Yarrowia lipolytica: one gene and its partners. The protein of the gene in region 1 interacts with the protein of each later gene in a pairwise test. Links are inferred from orthologs where the notes say so. Each region holds a gene or a part of one and is shown in the gene's direction. Other genes may lie near its edges.

Evidence for each region.
Region 2: the proteins of YALI1_F14958g (region 1) and YALI1_E18961g interact in a protein complementation assay, tested with the Saccharomyces cerevisiae proteins (2 studies listed by BioGRID). The link is inferred for Yarrowia lipolytica from reciprocal best matches to the Saccharomyces cerevisiae genes ERG25 and ERG1.
Region 3: the proteins of YALI1_F14958g (region 1) and YALI1_D07696g interact in a protein complementation assay, tested with the Saccharomyces cerevisiae proteins (2 studies listed by BioGRID). The link is inferred for Yarrowia lipolytica from reciprocal best matches to the Saccharomyces cerevisiae genes ERG25 and ALG5.

What each region holds. Positions count from the first base shown.
Region 1 is NC_090775.1:1,492,673-1,498,253, forward strand, and holds YALI1_F14958g (uncharacterized protein), read left to right. Parts: upstream 1-3,199; coding exon 3,200-4,129; downstream 4,130-5,581. Other genes in the region: YALI1_F14933g (uncharacterized protein), read right to left, coding at 442-684; YALI1_F14946g (uncharacterized protein), read right to left, coding at 1,419-1,979; YALI1_F15017g (uncharacterized protein), read right to left, coding at 5,181-5,581.
Region 2 is NC_090774.1:1,892,804-1,898,858, reverse strand, and holds YALI1_E18961g (uncharacterized protein), read left to right. Parts: upstream 1-2,703; coding exon 2,704-4,173; downstream 4,174-6,055. Other genes in the region: YALI1_E18927g (uncharacterized protein), read right to left, coding at 4,443-6,055. UniProt on the Saccharomyces cerevisiae protein: Squalene epoxidase; part of the third module of ergosterol biosynthesis pathway that includes the late steps of the pathway. ERG1 catalyzes the epoxidation of squalene into 2,3-epoxysqualene.
Region 3 is NC_090773.1:766,783-772,234, reverse strand, and holds YALI1_D07696g (uncharacterized protein), read left to right. Parts: upstream 1-2,595; coding exon 2,596-3,570; downstream 3,571-5,452. Other genes in the region: YALI1_D07729g (uncharacterized protein), read left to right, coding at 1-927; YALI1_D07665g (uncharacterized protein), read right to left, coding at 3,897-5,452. UniProt on the Saccharomyces cerevisiae protein: Endoplasmic reticulum membrane-bound UDP-glucose:dolichyl-phosphate glucosyltransferase involved in protein N-linked glycosylation.

The sequences.
Region 1 (5,581 bases):
TATGGTAGATGAGGTGTAGTCACATTTTGCAAGCACGAAGTATGTGGCGTACATATATACATGCAAATACATGCATATATCAAGCAGGAGGATACGACATTCTTCATGTAGAAGAATCTGTTGGCGTATTGTTAAGTTGATTTTGATATTTAGTTGTGCTCTTTTTTTCATTATTTTGCTGTTTCTGCCATTTCCAAAATAAGCTCTCCATAATGTCCTCGCAGGTGGCTTGTGCATGTTGGATGCATATTTTATGTGGTTTACTGCAATTAAATGCAATTAAATGAATTAATAGTCAACGGTCGCTGGCCGCTCAATTTACGGGTACAGTGATTACTGTTGTGAATAATGCAGCTCAATTATGTTATGAATAAATAGGTCTCTGGGGAAAAGCTCAGGAAATATGATGGGGTTTTGTAGTTTGGGTCCAAAACAAGATGCTTATTTCAGGTTGGTGAAGTCAACCTCGCCCTCCATCAGACCGGCGTTCTCCTCGTTCTTTCGGGAGCAGGTGCACTGAGAGGCCTGTCGCATGCCGCAGGAGCAGGCGTCAGTGGGCTTGACGTTCTCGACGGCAGCCTTGGAGCAGTCGCAGTGCTGAGCGGGCATCTTACCACAAGAGCAGGTGGCTTCGATAGCACAGACACAGGAGTTGGACTTCTTGCAGCAGGTAGAGGCGGCCATTTTAATAGATGTTTGTGTTGGTTGGTTGGTTGGTTGGTCGATTGGTTGTTCGTGTCAGATGTGTAGCTTGGAGGCTTGATACTGAAACTATCGAGCGTGTGGAGAGGTCTTTATACTAGCCACACCATGTCATGCTCGTATACATGTTTTAGACTTCTCGCTAACCTTACGCCCCCGCTGACCTTTTCCGGCACTGTGATTGGCCGGTTGGTCCCATAACGCACGTGACCCATCAGTGGCGTGTCTCGCTGACCTTTGCTGGGGATTTGATTGGCTGACGAGGAGGGTGAATCACGTGATGATCTGAGAGGTGCACAGATATGCTGACCTTTGAAGCGCGTCTGATTGGCTGGGTCGTGACCAAGTCACGTGATCCCGAGAGTGGAACATTCCCACAACCTGTTTAATCATGGCGAATACACAGGGCTAAGGTGGCTGGTAAGGTGGCCAAAATAAGACGCAAAAAGTGAGGCTTGTGTGTGGGTTATCAGATTGTCTCTGGAGGGGCGAATACGTTGGGAAAAAAATGGAAAAACGGGAGGAATTGCTGAGTAATATTTATTTGGACCTTGTGACCGACCCGTGTCGCAGCAAACATAATCCTGGTTTTGATGGACGATGCCAGTATCGAGTATGTAGAAGAACAGTTTCAAGTAAGAGACGTGGTGTCCATAGAGCTGCCGATGATACTCACTGTAAAGGTACATACTACAGTAGTCCATAGTCTTGAACATTCAATGCGCTCCAATGTTGTGATGAATATTGCGTCTTACCATGAAGAGTGGTTGCAGAAGTTGTATCATTTGATTGGACATTTCACGCTGATTTGATTCGTATGGCAAAATCTTTTTCCTTACAGAACGTCGACTTTTTGTAGTTGTGCTGTGGTAAAATAATCGGACAATTTTGGCCGAAAGTGGCAGACTTTTGACGAGGTTTGATCGACGATCTATGAAAATTTTAATCAAAATCATAATTAAAAAATAAATAAATAAATAAATCAAATTAAAAATCCAAATAAAAATCAAATAAAAATCAAAAAAAAAAATCAAATAAATAAATAAAAAAAAAAAAAAAAAACCATTGATCTTACTGTCGAATGTACGATACAGCACCACTCGCACTGTCTTATATGTACGTATGCTGTACTCTCGTATCAGCCTATTCCCAGAAGTGATAAAAAAGAACCGTCGCTGTTGATGTTGACGAAAACAGTCCAACATCCTATTCGTACAGTGCATACGACTACGGTACACGAACTTGTATCTCTCCTGTTCCGCTGTTGGTCGCACCATCGCTTACCGTCTAGTTGGTTAAACCTATTGTATGTACTGTACATACTCGTACTTGTAACTAATAACCACCGTTATCCACGCCGTTATCCGTTGTGCCATTGTTTACTTGTATCGTACTTCGGCTAATCGCCTGAGTGGTGTGAGTATAAAAAATGGCAGTCACACTTGTATTGCTGTACTGCGCCACACCTTAGCTGACCATACCTATGACGTTCCACGACGAGCACCGGTCCGGCACCCGACTCGTACTCGTCGTACTTGCAGCCTCATCCATACCCAGCAATGATGCCATGTTCCTATCCAGGGCACGGCCTCTTCATCACACCACCTGTGCTTCCGAGACTATATGTAAGCAAGTTGGGCAGTGTAAGTGGTGCAGGTCATGTGACCTTGTAAACAACAACCCGACTTTACAGTAACGCTTGGACACACTTGTTGGCCTGTTGAGTCAACCCGGGGCCAACCCAAGGCAACAAGGAGACCAAACCATCAATATATCGGACCAATATATCGGACCACGGTCGCCGCCGAATCGCCCCACATGGCGCTGGGCCGTTCCAGCTGAGCTGATGCCCCCCACGTCGCTCCCATCGTATATCCAAACCCTATCAGCATTTTTTCTGAAAAAGGCCGTTAAACGACATATACGACTTGGGAGTTGGATCAGTAGGCTGATGTTGATTTTTCAACCCATTTTACCAAACCAAAAAGCTAATCTAGCCGAGTCGATGGCGGATCGCGGACATGCTACTCTAGACCACGTTCCGGACGGCGGTTTCGACCGGCGAGGTTATGAGTACGTCAGAAGCAGACAGAAGAACAGATTGCGAGCACAAATCCGAGACCCACGGCCCCCTAAAACACGTCCAGGGCCCTAATCAGATGTGCCGTCGCGACGCCCCTGACGTGTTCACATGTTGAGTTTGGATGCAGAAGGTTCAGCATGTTTAGCCCGTTTGGGTTATCAGATGATTGCTTGCGGGGGTCGTTGGGGACCATTTCCACACGAATACACGGAAAAAAACCACACAGTCACACTCACCGTGTCAGTGCCATCATGTTGGTGCCCTTTACCCCCCAAATATCCCAGTTTACACATCTTGCAACCCCCCCGGGATACGACGCAAACGACAGGGTTAGGAGCAAAGGCTAATACTTTTCGTGTTTTATAGGCCCTCCCATCCCACCCTTTGGAGTCCCATATCTCACCTCGACACACCATGTCTTCGATTCTCGAGAGCATCAACTCCACCGTCACCCCCGCGGCCTCCTACATCGGCACCTACGCCAAGCTGTCCGACGCCCACGCCGACACCCTCAACATTGTCGAGCGGGTGTGGGCATCATACTTTGTGTGGTGGGGCAATGATCTCATTGCTTGCGGCATCTTCATTTTCCTGCTGCACGAGATTCTCTACTTTGGCCGGTGCGTGCCCTGGATGATCCTCGACCAGATCCCCTACTTTCACAAGTGGAAGATCCAGGGCGAGGCCAAGGTGCCCTCTGTGGCCGAGCAGTGGGAGTGCATGAAGTCCGTGCTCATCTCGCACTTTATGGTCGAGGCCATCCCCATCTGGGGCTTCTACCCCGTCTGCAAGTACGCCGGAATTTCCATCGACGTGCCCTTCCCCTCCTGGATGAAGATCTGTGCCCATCTCGCCCTATTTTTTGTGCTGGAGGATACCTGGCACTACTGGCTGCACCGAGGCCTTCACTACGGTCCCTTCTACAAGCACATCCACAAGCAGCACCACCGATACGCCGCTCCCTTTGGTTTGACTGCCGAGTACGCTCACCCCGTTGAGGTGGCTTTGCTTGGTGTCGGAACTGTGGGCATCCCCATTGCCTGGGTCATGCTAACCGGTGATCTCCATCTCTTCACCGTGTCTGTGTGGATCGCCCTGCGACTCTTCCAGGCCATCGACGCCCATTCTGGCTATGAGTTCCCCGTGTCTCTGCATCACTTCTTGCCCATCTGGGCCGGTGCCGACCACCACGATGACCACCATCGATACTTCACCGGCAACTACGCCTCGTCGTTCCGATGGTGGGACTTTGTGCTCGACACCGAGGCCGGTCCCGCCGCCAAGGCCGAGCGACAGCAGCGACTTGCCGCCAAGGCTGCTAAGAAGGCCAAGAAGCAGCAGTAAGCGACCCCGGCCACTCACTACGGTCGCGATACCCAATCCCGATCCAAAACTGACCCCAGTATATACATAAGTTATTTAATATGATACATTTCTCCTTACGACGAAGCGCCCAAAGCGCTACGCTCGAAGCTCTACGCTAGAAGCTCTACGCTAGAAGCTCTACGCTCGAAGCTCGACGCTCGATTAGCTCTCAGATCATGTACTTCAGATGCCCTCATCGTGTATAAATAGAAGCAGAAAAACAATTCCCTTTGGGGAAAGAGACAAAGAAAGGAAGGGTGAGGAAGCCCAAAAGAAGTAATGTGAAACTTTGCCGAAGTGACCCAACTTGGTGAACATGTTGTGATGGTGGAATAGGAGACATGTGGTTGATTGAAGGGAGGTTACAAGAGCCGGACTACATGATTTCAACAGTAGCCAGCATTACCTTTACTGTACTAAATATAATAATATATTATTATTATGGATTTATTATTATGATTATTATTGTTTAAGTAGGTCTTACATAATTCGCATATATACGAGAGTGTCTCATGACTAGACCAACAGTACCTACACACTTGTGGTACAATGTATATCAGGAGAGTGATGGCGTTACATCGGTGTTTCTTTTTCCAAAACACATCTACATGCTCGTGTGATCCTCCTGGTCAGTGGCAATACAGCTGTTTATGATGGATCTAGGGCTAGATCAACATGAAGAGAAAGAATCAAGACGAAGGACAGAAGAGATATAGCATACACCGATATCGTCTCACAGAATCCCAGTTACCAGTGGTTACTGTACTCGTCCATACACCGTGGAATACCCTCAAGTATCGTAGGGACCAAAGAGCTGTCAGTGCCTCTGGCAGTCTTTCTACCACCTCTCCCTCCATCTACCAACTGTCGTTTATGTCCATTGTTCCATGCTATGGGTCTGTAAAGACCACTGTACCCGCATCGTGTCTACACTCAACTCGCTCCAGGCGCTCCGCGGAGGACCTACCGCTGCCATGGCCTTGGCCAGTCGCAGCCCCTCGCACTCGTCAGTCTATAAATATATAAATAATTACATGCGCTTTTCAATTGTCGCGTTAAACAGTGCCAGGTTCAAAGCGGCGTCATTGACCCCCATGGTGGGGTTACTTTCCTCCAACAAGTCAAATGACCGCACGGTCACCTCGGAAAAGGCGTCGTTGGCCGTGCTGTACAGCAACAGGTCTCTTGTAGGCCCAGCCTTTGAGGGGGCCGAATTGGCAGGCTCAGCCACTTCGGAAAGCTCGCTCTTGAGAGCTGTCCACGTGTCCTGCAGCGTGGCCTTGAGGTCCGGCGTGGTGGCCACAAACGGTGAATCCAACAACGCCTGCAGCCCCTCAACCACATGGTTGCGCAACATGGTCACCTCGGCGTCCTCCGAGGCCATGAGCGACTTTTCGTGGATCATGGCAATCTTAAGGAACATGGAAATGC
Region 2 (6,055 bases), on another chromosome or scaffold:
TGGCAATTGCGGTTCATGTCGTTTGCTGGATAAGGTCCTGATCACTTGTCAAGTCTGATCCTGATCACTTGTCAAGTCTGTACAGAGTATGATGTCCCCGCAAGTGTATCTAGAGTCAACTGCTGTATCGCTTATCGGGGAGTACGTACATGCTCGATTCAATGAATCGGCAAGTTGTATGAATGCGGAAGGGTTCCTTTTGGTCTTTCTTTCCTTTTTTGTCTTTCTTTTCCTTTCTTTCGGTATTCTCGCCCCGCTGTTACTCCCTATTCCGTGTGGTTTGGCCGTTAAGTGCAGGAGGGAATCGAACTTCGTAAGGCTGTGGATTGTGCAGCGGCTATTCACTTGAGGATCCGATGATGACTGCAGATCACGTATTTCCCTAGGGTTATTTATATATATATATTATTATTTATTTTATTTTTATTTTCCACGAGCATCTTTTATGGTCAATTGTCCAACATCCTAATTGAAGATCATAAGTATTATTGATGTGATATAGTTAACAACTTACAACCCACTCCGATAGTAGCACACACCCTTCTGGTGTGTGCTTGCTCATTCGCCAGAAAAGACTAGATCAGTGGATAAAACTATCTACAGGATGGACATCTCGTCGTCTACGACCCAGCTGATTTCTCTCATCACTATGTGGTGACATCTCACCATTATGTGAGGAATTAGCCAGGTATTACACTACCGGGTATGACTTCCTTCAGCACATGCAAGGCCTTCTGCCAAAAGATTGACGTCCCTTCCATCTAAAATGGCGGCTGAATCTTGTTGGATCTTACTGGAGGCCAAGGACGGCCCGCTGAACTACATTAGAGCGAGCCATGCGAAAAACTGGCCTATCTTGTAGTGACCCCTTGGTCCAGCGAGACTGGCTCGCTTGTTCAACCGAGTTTCTGCAGCATATCGTCGTCATGGCTGAGGTGGATGCGCAGCGGCGAATGAGCGCCGAGGTGATTTCACTCTACAAGTAGGAGGATTATTGCAATGGCTGGTACACATTGCGTATCTGTGGAAACTGCTCGCGCTGAATAAACTCGCTGACGACTGATTAATGAAAATGGAATATTGGGGGAAAAATATATATATTTTATTTTAAAACATAAAATAAAAATAAAATAAAATAAAATAAAACATAAAAATAAAACATAAAAAACCAACACAACACCCCAATACTCCTACTCCCCGATTCCACTACCACTCAATCAAGATACACACGAATCTTTCCCATGCTAATGACACCTTCTACGGTCCCTTCGAGATCAAACTAAACCAAGGAGTTTGGAGAAGACAGGAGACCCAGAATAAATATATAAAAAACATATATAAAAAAGAGAAGAAAAAACACGATTGATACGATTTATGACTAACTAACTCGAGACCAGGACGATGAACCAAAGACTTGCGCCTCGAAACGCATATCGAGATTATCAAGTGTATGATTAACGCCAACAACCCGGCTTCATGTATATATAGATGTGATGAATCGAGAGAATACTAAAATATAATATATATATATAAAGGACAGCCAGATATCACGTTCGTTGAATTAATATATATCATTCATGTGAACGGTTTTTTTTTATTTATTTATTTTTTTTATTTTATTTTATTTTATTTTATTTTATTTTATTTTATTTTTTATTTATTTTATTTTATTTTTTTTATATTTTATTTTATTTTATTTTTTTTATTTATTTTATTTATTTTATTTTATTTTATTTTATTTTATTTTATTTTTTTTTATTTTTTATTTATTTTTTATTTATTTTATTTATTTTATTTTATTTTATTTTTATTTTATTTCTTTTACTTTCTTTCTTCTCTTTCTCCCTTGTCTCAGCCCTCAGATGCCCAACCATTTAAAGTTGGAGCGTGTGTTCATTTCTGGTTGAAAAATCTGCGAGCGGAGAAATGTGGCATAACAGACGTGTATCCACAGTTACATGTGATATTGCAACATGGCACGATGGAACGTCGCGCGAGCCTCAGCGACACGTGGATGTGTGTCAGTGCGGCTTGTGATGGCCGTCTCACCTGCAGATGCAATTTAGCGCTCGCTAGACGCGCTTTTGGCCCAGTCCAGGGCAAGGTGTTACCCAAACAACTAGTGAACGAGCCACGCGAGGATATGCGACCGTTAACGACGAGACAAGTCAAAGTGTCTAAACCCAAAATGTGTGCCAGGGGGGGGGAGAATAAAAAAAAATCGGTCTTAGCTGTACGAGTAATAGCGGTCGAGAACAATGCCAGATACTAACACGACTTATATAGAGCTAGCAGGAAAGGGGGGACAAAAACGCTCGTAAAAACACAACCGAAACGCCGGTCTTCTCTTCTCCTACACAGACACCACTCGGGCCCACCGGACCTGCACTTCTGGGGGAGCAAACACGTTAAAAACAAAAGCACAAGCACAAGCACAAGCACATCAGCATCAGAGCCACGGACAAAGTTTATCAACATCGCCCTTTTTTTGAATCGAACGATAAATATCACCAGCAGCAACAGATTGCAGAGTTGGACCACTTCTCCAGACTGCGTAAACAGGTGATACTTGGTGGTATAAGAACAACATACCCACGCTCTCTCGCCCGCACATTCGTTCCGACGCATTTACAAACCGCCAGTCTCTCGCTCAACGCTCACATAAATTAATCACACAACAGCCCACACTCACACTCACACAAAATGGTCACCCAACAGTCTGCAGCAGAGACCAGCGCCACCCAGACCAACGAGTACGACGTGGTCATTGTCGGAGCTGGTATTGCCGGGCCCGCTCTGGCCGTGGCTCTTGGAAATCAGGGCAGAAAGGTTCTTGTTGTGGAACGAGATCTCTCCGAACCGGACCGAATCGTGGGAGAGCTGCTTCAGCCCGGAGGAGTCGCTGCTCTCAAGACTCTGGGTCTCGGCTCTTGTATCGAGGATATCGACGCGATCCCCTGCCAGGGATACAACGTGATCTACTCTGGAGAAGAGTGCGTTCTCAAATACCCCAAGGTCCCCCGAGACATCCAGCAGGACTACAACGAGCTGTACAGAAGCGGAAAGTCTGCCGACATCTCCAACGAGGCTCCCCGAGGAGTATCCTTCCACCACGGCCGATTTGTCATGAACTTGCGAAGGGCCGCACGAGACACACCCAATGTGACTCTGCTGGAGGCCACAGTCACCGAGGTGGTCAAGAACCCTTACACCGGCCACATTATTGGAGTCAAGACCTTCTCTAAAACTGGAGGCGCCAAAATCTACAAGCACTTCTTTGCTCCTCTCACCGTCGTCTGTGATGGAACTTTTTCCAAGTTCCGAAAGGACTTTAGCACCAACAAGACGTCTGTGCGTTCGCATTTCGCCGGTCTGATTCTCAAGGACGCTGTTCTGCCCTCCCCCCAGCATGGCCACGTGATTCTGTCGCCCAACTCGTGTCCCGTTCTTGTCTACCAGGTTGGAGCTCGAGAGACCCGAATTCTGTGTGACATTCAGGGACCCGTCCCCTCTAATGCAACCGGAGCCCTCAAGGAACACATGGAGAAGAACGTCATGCCCCACCTGCCTAAGTCCATCCAGCCGTCTTTCCAAGCCGCTCTCAAGGAGCAGACCATTCGAGTCATGCCCAACTCTTTCCTGTCGGCCTCCAAGAACGATCACCACGGTTTGATTCTGCTGGGTGACGCACTCAACATGCGACATCCACTTACCGGAGGAGGAATGACCGTTGCTCTCAATGATGCCCTTCTACTCAGCAGACTTCTCACCGGCGTTAACCTGGAAGACACCTATGCCGTGTCCTCCGTCATGAGCTCGCAGTTCCACTGGCAGCGAAAACACCTCGACTCCATCGTCAACATTCTCTCCATGGCCCTCTACTCGCTCTTCGCCGCCGACTCGGACTACTTGCGAATCCTGCAGCTCGGATGCTTCAACTACTTCAAGCTGGGAGGCATCTGTGTGGACCACCCCGTCATGCTGTTGGCTGGAGTTCTCCCCCGACCCATGTACCTGTTTACGCATTTCTTCGTAGTGGCCATCTACGGCGGAATCTGCAACATGCAGGCCAACGGCATTGCCAAGCTGCCCGCGTCGCTACTGCAATTTGTCGCCTCTCTGGTCACCGCTTGCATCGTCATCTTCCCTTACATTTGGAGCGAGCTGACTTAGACGTTCGTTGGACCTGGGCCAGCGACATGAAGAGATACTAACTAGATGATCTACTTGTAGCATATAGACTAATTTGAATGAATAATGATAGACCATACGAGTACTGTACTTTCGAAAACACGCCATGCCTGCCTGGCACACAAAAGCAATTCTCTCATGGCATGATGCTAAATCATATGACAAAACATATCAACTCTACATGTATATATATGTTCATTTAATTCATAAACAATTTGATTGATAAATATTCACAATTTAACACATCGCGCTTAGAGCTTGGAAGAGCTGCCAACGGAGGTGATCTGGTCGTAAAGGAGAGTGGTGAGGAAGTCGGAGTACTTGTCGCCAACAATCTCGGGCTTGAAGTAAGCGGCGGCCTCAGCAAACTTGTTGCCGGGCTTGGAGTTCTTGATGAGCTTGTCGGTCTCCTCGTTGAGAAGCTTGACGGCGTAGTCCTTGGTGACCTTCTTGCCTTCGGCGGTGGTAACACCGTGCTTGACCCACTGGTGGAGCTGAGATCGAGACACCTCAGCGGTGGCAGCATCCTCCATCAAGTAGTTGATGGGGACACAACCAAGACCACGGAGCCAGGCCTCCATGTAGCCAAGACCGATGAACAGGTTCTTTCGGATACCCTCCTCGGTGATCTTGCCGCCCTCAATGTAAGGGTTGATGAGGTCTCGAGCGGTGATGTGGACATCCTCTCGTCGTCGGTAGATCTGGTTAGGAGTGGGCATGTGCTTGTTGAAAACCTCGGAGGCGATGATGGCAAGCTGGGGGTGAGCAACCCAGGTACCGTCGTGGCCGGCGGTCACCTCTCGGAGCTTGTCCTTGTAGACACCCTCCATGGCAACCTTGTTGGCAGCAGCATCGTTCTTGATGGGGATCTGAGCAGCCATACCGCCCATGGCGTGGACGCCTCGCTTGTGGCAGGTCTGGATGAGGAGCTTGACGTAAGCAGACATGTAAGGGACGGTCATGGTAACGTCACCTCGGTCGGGGAGAACAAACTCGGGATGGTTCTTGAACTTCTTGATGAAGGAGAAGATGTAATCCCATCGGCCACAGTTGAGACCAGAGGAGTGCTCTCGGAGCTCGTAGATGATCTCGTCCATCTCAAAGGCGGCGAGAATGGTCTCGATCAGAACGGTACCTCGGATGGTTCCTCGGGGCATGCCGATCCAGTCCTGAGAGAGCTTGAAGACGTCGTTCCAGAGTCGGGCCTCAAGGTGGGACTCCATCTTGGGGAGGTAGAAGTAAGGGCCAGCGCCTCGAGCAACGGACTCCTTGGCGTTGTTGAAGAAGTACAGACCGAAATCAAAGAGACCACCGGAGATGGGCTTGCCATCAACAAGGAAGTGGGTCTCATCAAGGTGCCAGCCTCGAGGTCGGACGATAAGGGTGGGGAGCTTCTCCTTGTCGGATCGGAGCTTGTAAGACTTTCCACCGGGGGCCTGGAAGGTGATGGTTCGTCGGACACCGTCGTAGAGGTTGACCTGACCATCGACCATGTTGGACCAGGTGGGGGCAGAGGAGTCCTCAAAGTCAGCCATGTAGGTCCAGACGTCGGAGTTCAGGGCGTTGATGACCATCTTTCGGTCAGTGGGGCCGGTGATCTCGACTCGTCGATCAACCAGACCGGGGGCGGGGGGGGCACCCTGCCAAGTGGGGTCATCTCGGATGTTCTTGGTCTCGGGGAGGAAGTCGGGGAACTCGCCGGCATCGATTCGGGCCTGTCGAGCGACTCGAGCAGCAAGGAGCTCGTGTCGTCGGGCATCGAAGGTTCGGTGCAGGGTGGCGATGAAAGCCAGAGCCTCCTTGGAGAAGATGTGCTGGGCGTTGGCGGGGATGTTAGCCCGGATCTCAACACCCTTGAGAATGG
Region 3 (5,452 bases), on another chromosome or scaffold:
GAGGAGTACAAGAACTTCACCATCCCCATCTTCTTCTCCGAGTACGGCTGCAACCGAGTCAAGCCGCGACAGTTCTCCGACGTGCCCGTTCTGTTTGGCCCCAACATGACCGACGTCTGGTCCGGAGGAATCGTCTACATGTACTTTGAGGAGCAGAACCAGTACGGTCTGGTGTCTGTTTCCGGAAGCTCCGTCTCCACTCTCGACGACTTCAACAACCTGTCTTCGCAGATGGCTAAGATTTCTCCTTCCTCCGCCAACACCAACGACTACAAGCCCTCTCAGACCGCTGGTGGCGTCTCGTGCCCCGACTTCAACGCCAACTGGAAAGGCTCTCCCACCCTGCCTCCCACCCCCAAGGTCGGAACCTGTCAGTGCATCAACGATGGCTCTTCTTGTGTCGTCAACTCGGACACTAACGCCAAGAACTACGGCGATCTCTTTGGAGAGCTGTGCGGTAACCTCGATGTGGACTGCTCCGAGATCCAGTCCAACGGAACCTCCGGCAAGTACGGAGACCTGTCCTTCTGTGACGCCAAGCAGAAGCTCAACTTCCTCATGGGCAAGTACTACGACTCCCAGAACGGCAACTCTCAGGCCTGCGACTTTTCTTCCCAGGCCTCCATTGTCCAGAGCCCCAAGACCGGATCCAACTGCCAGAACGCCCAGGCCACTGCTGTCTCTTCCGGCTCGTCCGGCTCTTCCGGCTCGTCCGGCTCTGGATCTTCGGGCTCTGGATCGTCCGGATCCTCGGGCTCTGGCTCGGGCTCTGCTAAGGGCTCTGCTGCTGCCGCTGCCTCTGGCTCGGCCGCCGCCTCGTCCTCCAAGGGCGGAAACAAGAAGAGCGCCGGCGCCTCGCTGGCTGCCGAGAAGGTGGTTGCCTCCGTCGTGTTTGGCGCCATCGCCATCATGGCCGTTATTGTTTAACATTCTAAAAAGTTAGATCGGAAGAGCGGTTCAGCATTCATTTGTAGGTAGTACAAAAATGGGGGTGGGGGGGGGGGGGGCAGATTTGTGGTGTCAATTGTGGTGTCAAAATGAAGCTGAGCAAGCGACCTTTTCAAATGTCTCAAAAAAGCGTCATCGGCCAATCACAAGTGCCGAGAAATGGTCAGATCACAAATTTTTCAAGATAGTTTTTCACATTATAGAGTAACCTCGAGTAATTTTTAACTTAACAAATACCTCAATAAACTACTTGGGAATACTACCAAAAATACTAGCAAAATACTCCACCACGGGTCGTAAAACTGCACTATTTATTGTGCATCCGACTCCACGGATGGTTCCAGACGTTGACAAGACACTAAAAACACCGCTACCTGTACGTGTAGGACCAGTGCCCTGAATTTTGCCAAAATTTCGCAGATTTTCGCCAAAATGACGCTAGCAAGAAAATTGGCGCGTCACGAGCACGTGGTGAAAACCCAAGACCCAAACTGAATCTGCGCTGTACTACCACTCACCCAAACAGGCCATGGATTATCAGATCTGCAGACGTGGCGGGGCCCGGTTGCTGGATGGGGACAAGAGCAGTAAAACACAGCTTATGAGCGGGTCGATTTGACAGTGTTGTTTTTTATCGAGTCAAAAACCTCAAAATAGCAACAACAACCGCTCATGTTCATCCAATGGAGCCATTCAGACTACTGTTGTGGATGTTGACGAACGGCTAATCACTCAAGTGAAAAACACAAAATTCCCGGAACCGAACTTTACACAGGGGCATAAACAGTGTATAGAGCGGGATTGAAGAGAGATAAACAGAAGAAGAAAACGAAAATCAACTGAAACGGAAAATTTGGGCTATTATGCCAACTTTTCAGAGTGATAGTGCCCCTGAATCGCTTTCAAATCTGCGTCCCAAATGAACCACAACTCTGCCTTGCCAAACTCAAATTTATGTAGACAAATGGACATAGGCGAATGGTAAACATGTGTTTGTGGTGTTGTTGCGGTGGAAAAACAACGCAGATTTTTCTAAAATAGCCTCGAGAAACGTGTTTTCAGTTCATTTGTAAAAACCGGCTCTCAAATTCGTCACTTGCAACGGCTACAACAGCGCCCCCTATTCAGCCGTCTCCAAAAGCTGCGCAAGTTTAATGTCCAAAAATAACACACGCCCAAACTGGTGAAATACGTGTTTCTGAAATGTGGAAATTATAATTGAGATATCGGTGATACTCCAGAATCAGTTCAGTATTCATCTGTCAAAAATAACTGTCTCAAATCATCTATTTATGTCCATAAATCATCCTGTTGTCACCCAATCGGCTCTGTCGAGGGCTGAGTTTAATATTGGTGTAATATATATATACTCCAACTTGGTCACCTTTCAACTTGACGAATAATGCTCAAAATGAAATTATGAAAAGAGAAATTTGTACAAAAATGGCGATACAATCACCTCAGCTATTTTAATCACCTCCAAAAAGGCCCCTAAAGCCTACAGGCACACCTGCTTCGCCAACAAGTGCTCAACTCAAAGTAGGCTCTACCGAAACTCTACTGTACTCTGCCTACAGGGCCCACGTAACCTCATCTCCGTTGTCTTACCATCTTCACCACTACCACCACCACCACCCACACGCCAACATGTTCTACGTGGTGGCTGCGCTCGTGGCGCTCATTCTCGCGGTGTACGCCGCCGTGTTTGCCTTTTCGCACAAGCCTCGACCGGTGCACAAACACGAGCAGTTCTTTGAAACCACCGTGGCCGACGGATCGGTGTCGCCCAAACAGCCGCTTGTGGCTCTGGAGAAGCAGGCACACGGACGCAAAGACACCGACGCCGACGACGACGACGACTACGTGTTCATTTCGGTGGTAGTGCCCTGCTACAACGAAACGAAGCGACTGGGAGTCATGCTGGAAGACGCGGTGCCAGTGCTGGACGCTCTCAAGCAGCCCTACGAGGTGATCATCGTCGACGACGGCTCGCGCGACAAGACCCCCGAGTTTGCGCTCGAGTGGGCATCTCAACACATGAAACCCGGCTCTTTGAGGGTCACCCGACTGGCCAAAAACCGAGGTAAGGGAGGAGCGGTGGCCCACGGAATGCGCTTCTCGCGAGGCAAGTACGTGCTCTTTGCCGACGCCGACGGAGCCTCGGACTTCAAGGACATGCCGCGACTTCTAGAGGCTGTCAAGGTCAACGACGGAGTGGCTATCGGCTCCAGAGCACACATGGTCGGCACGGATGCCGTGGTCAAGCGGTCCTTCATCCGCAACTTTCTCATGAGAGGCCTGCATCTGCTGGTGTGGACATTTGGAGTGCGGACCATCAGAGACACTCAGTGCGGCTTCAAGCTCTTTTCTCGACGAGCCACCGAAAACATCTTCCCTTACATGCACACCGAGGGCTGGATTTTCGACGTCGAGGTGCTCATGCTGGCCCAGAGAAAAGGTCTGGCCATTGCCGAGATTCCCATTTCGTGGCACGAGGTGGAGGGCTCGAAAATCGATCTCGCTGCTGACAGTATCAAGATGGCCATCGATTTGGTGGTCACTCGAGTGGCCTATATCATTGGTGTTTATGGAGATCGAGAAGTGAATTTCAAGGTGGAGTGAAAAGAGTGCCAACCACCATGACTACAGCAGAGAGTTGCAGAACAGCTCTGGCTGACTCACAGGGCCCATGAGACACTACAACAACTCACCTGTGAGCATCAAAAGACAGCTCCAACGAGCTGCAACCGCCAAGGGGATTGTATTTATGTATTATATATTATAGACAGTAATAGAGAAGGGATGTGATAGAATGATTGCGCTACAGACACGCCCATAGAGCGAATAAGTAGTATAACCATGGCTTAACATACCTACTGCACTTCTCCCGCAGTATTCAATGATGTCTTTTATTCGATTCGTTAACATGATATATATCTAGCCGTTCTCTAATCCAGCTTGTTGACCCGGTCGCTGTCTCCCACCTTGTAGACAATACCAGAGACCTTGCCGTTGTTGACAATCTCGTTTTCAGACACAAAGTCGGGCTTGATGAGCTTGGGCCAGTTGACAAACTGCAGACCGTTCTTGGTCATGTATCGCACCGACCACACCAGTACCAGCACCCAGAAGCCCACAAATGATCGGCTCACCAGAGCAGACAGATCCTGTCGGGGGAAGAAGGTGGCACAGAGAATGAGCACCACGGCAGACAGAACCATGTAGGGCACGGCCTGGAACAGAATGGGGCGCACGTCGTAGAAGCGGGCAGGTCGGCCCGAGTAGGGCACGTAGTTGCCCAGGAACAGGTCGAAAGAGTCCTGACGAATGCCGTCCTGGAAGTTGTTCTTGATGTATCGGGTGGCGGAGTTGAGACCGTCGTTGAGAGCGCCCTGTTTGGTTCGCTTGCCCAGACGGGTGAAATCAGTCTTGAGAGCACCGGTTCCAGAATAAGTGACGGACACTGCATTGGCGTTGTCGGCCCACACGTTTCGGAAGATGAGCTCGAACTTGGGCTCAGTAGTCTCCCACTTCTGGCCGGGGGCCAGAATTCCGGCAGCCTCAAACTGCTTCTGCAGCACCCATCGGCCCAAGGTGGACTGGACCACGTTAGTTCGGTCCAGGCAGTCCATGCAGTTGGTTCGCACGACGGAGGTCTGGTTAGCCTGGGGCTGCAGCTGACGGTTGGGCATGAGGGTAGCCTCAAAGTAGCCCTGCTGGTCGAGACCCAGCTCCTGCAGCCGCTCAATCAGCAACAGGACACGGTGCCATCGCATCTTGGAGCACTCGTGGTGGAAGTCAAAGTAGACGTACGAGACCTGGTCCTCGGGGTAGCCGAGCTGGTCGACCAGCTGCTCGTAGGCCCGCTTGACAGGCAGCTCGTAGCCCTTCTGGTTGACGAGGTTGACGAGGTAGTTGCGACCGTACCGCTTGATCTGGTCGTCAAAGTGCAGCTTGGCGGCGTCCGTGGCGGGCTGGCCAATCTGCAGGTTGGGCTTGTACTTGAGGTTGATGACCTCGCCCCAGTACACGGGGACGGAGCCTCGGGTCTGCAGGTAGGAGAAGACACGTGGGGGCTCGGCGGTGCCTTCGACGATGAGCAGCTGCTCGGTCTCGTTGAAGTTTGCCACGTTGCCGTGGGCGTCAATTCCTCGTCGGAAGTACCGGGTGCCGGCTCTGTGTCGCGATCGTCGGGTGATGACACCAAAGGTGATGCTTCGGCCATTGATGGTGCTCTGGGAGAGCTCCACAAAGCCAAAGGACATGGGGGTGACGAACAGCGCCACGCCGGGCTGGGTACGGGCGGCGTCAATCAGATCGGTGCACACGTACTTGTTCCAGAAGAACCGTTCGTCAGCGGTCTCGAACGACACTCCGGGGGCCCGCTGGGCGTGGCTCTGGGCCTGCAGTGACGTGGTGAGGTCCCAGGTTCGGCAGAAGTACAGTCGCGAGCTGTCGAGGTGGAACTGCAGAATCTTGAGGTACTGCTGCTCCTGGGGGTCTG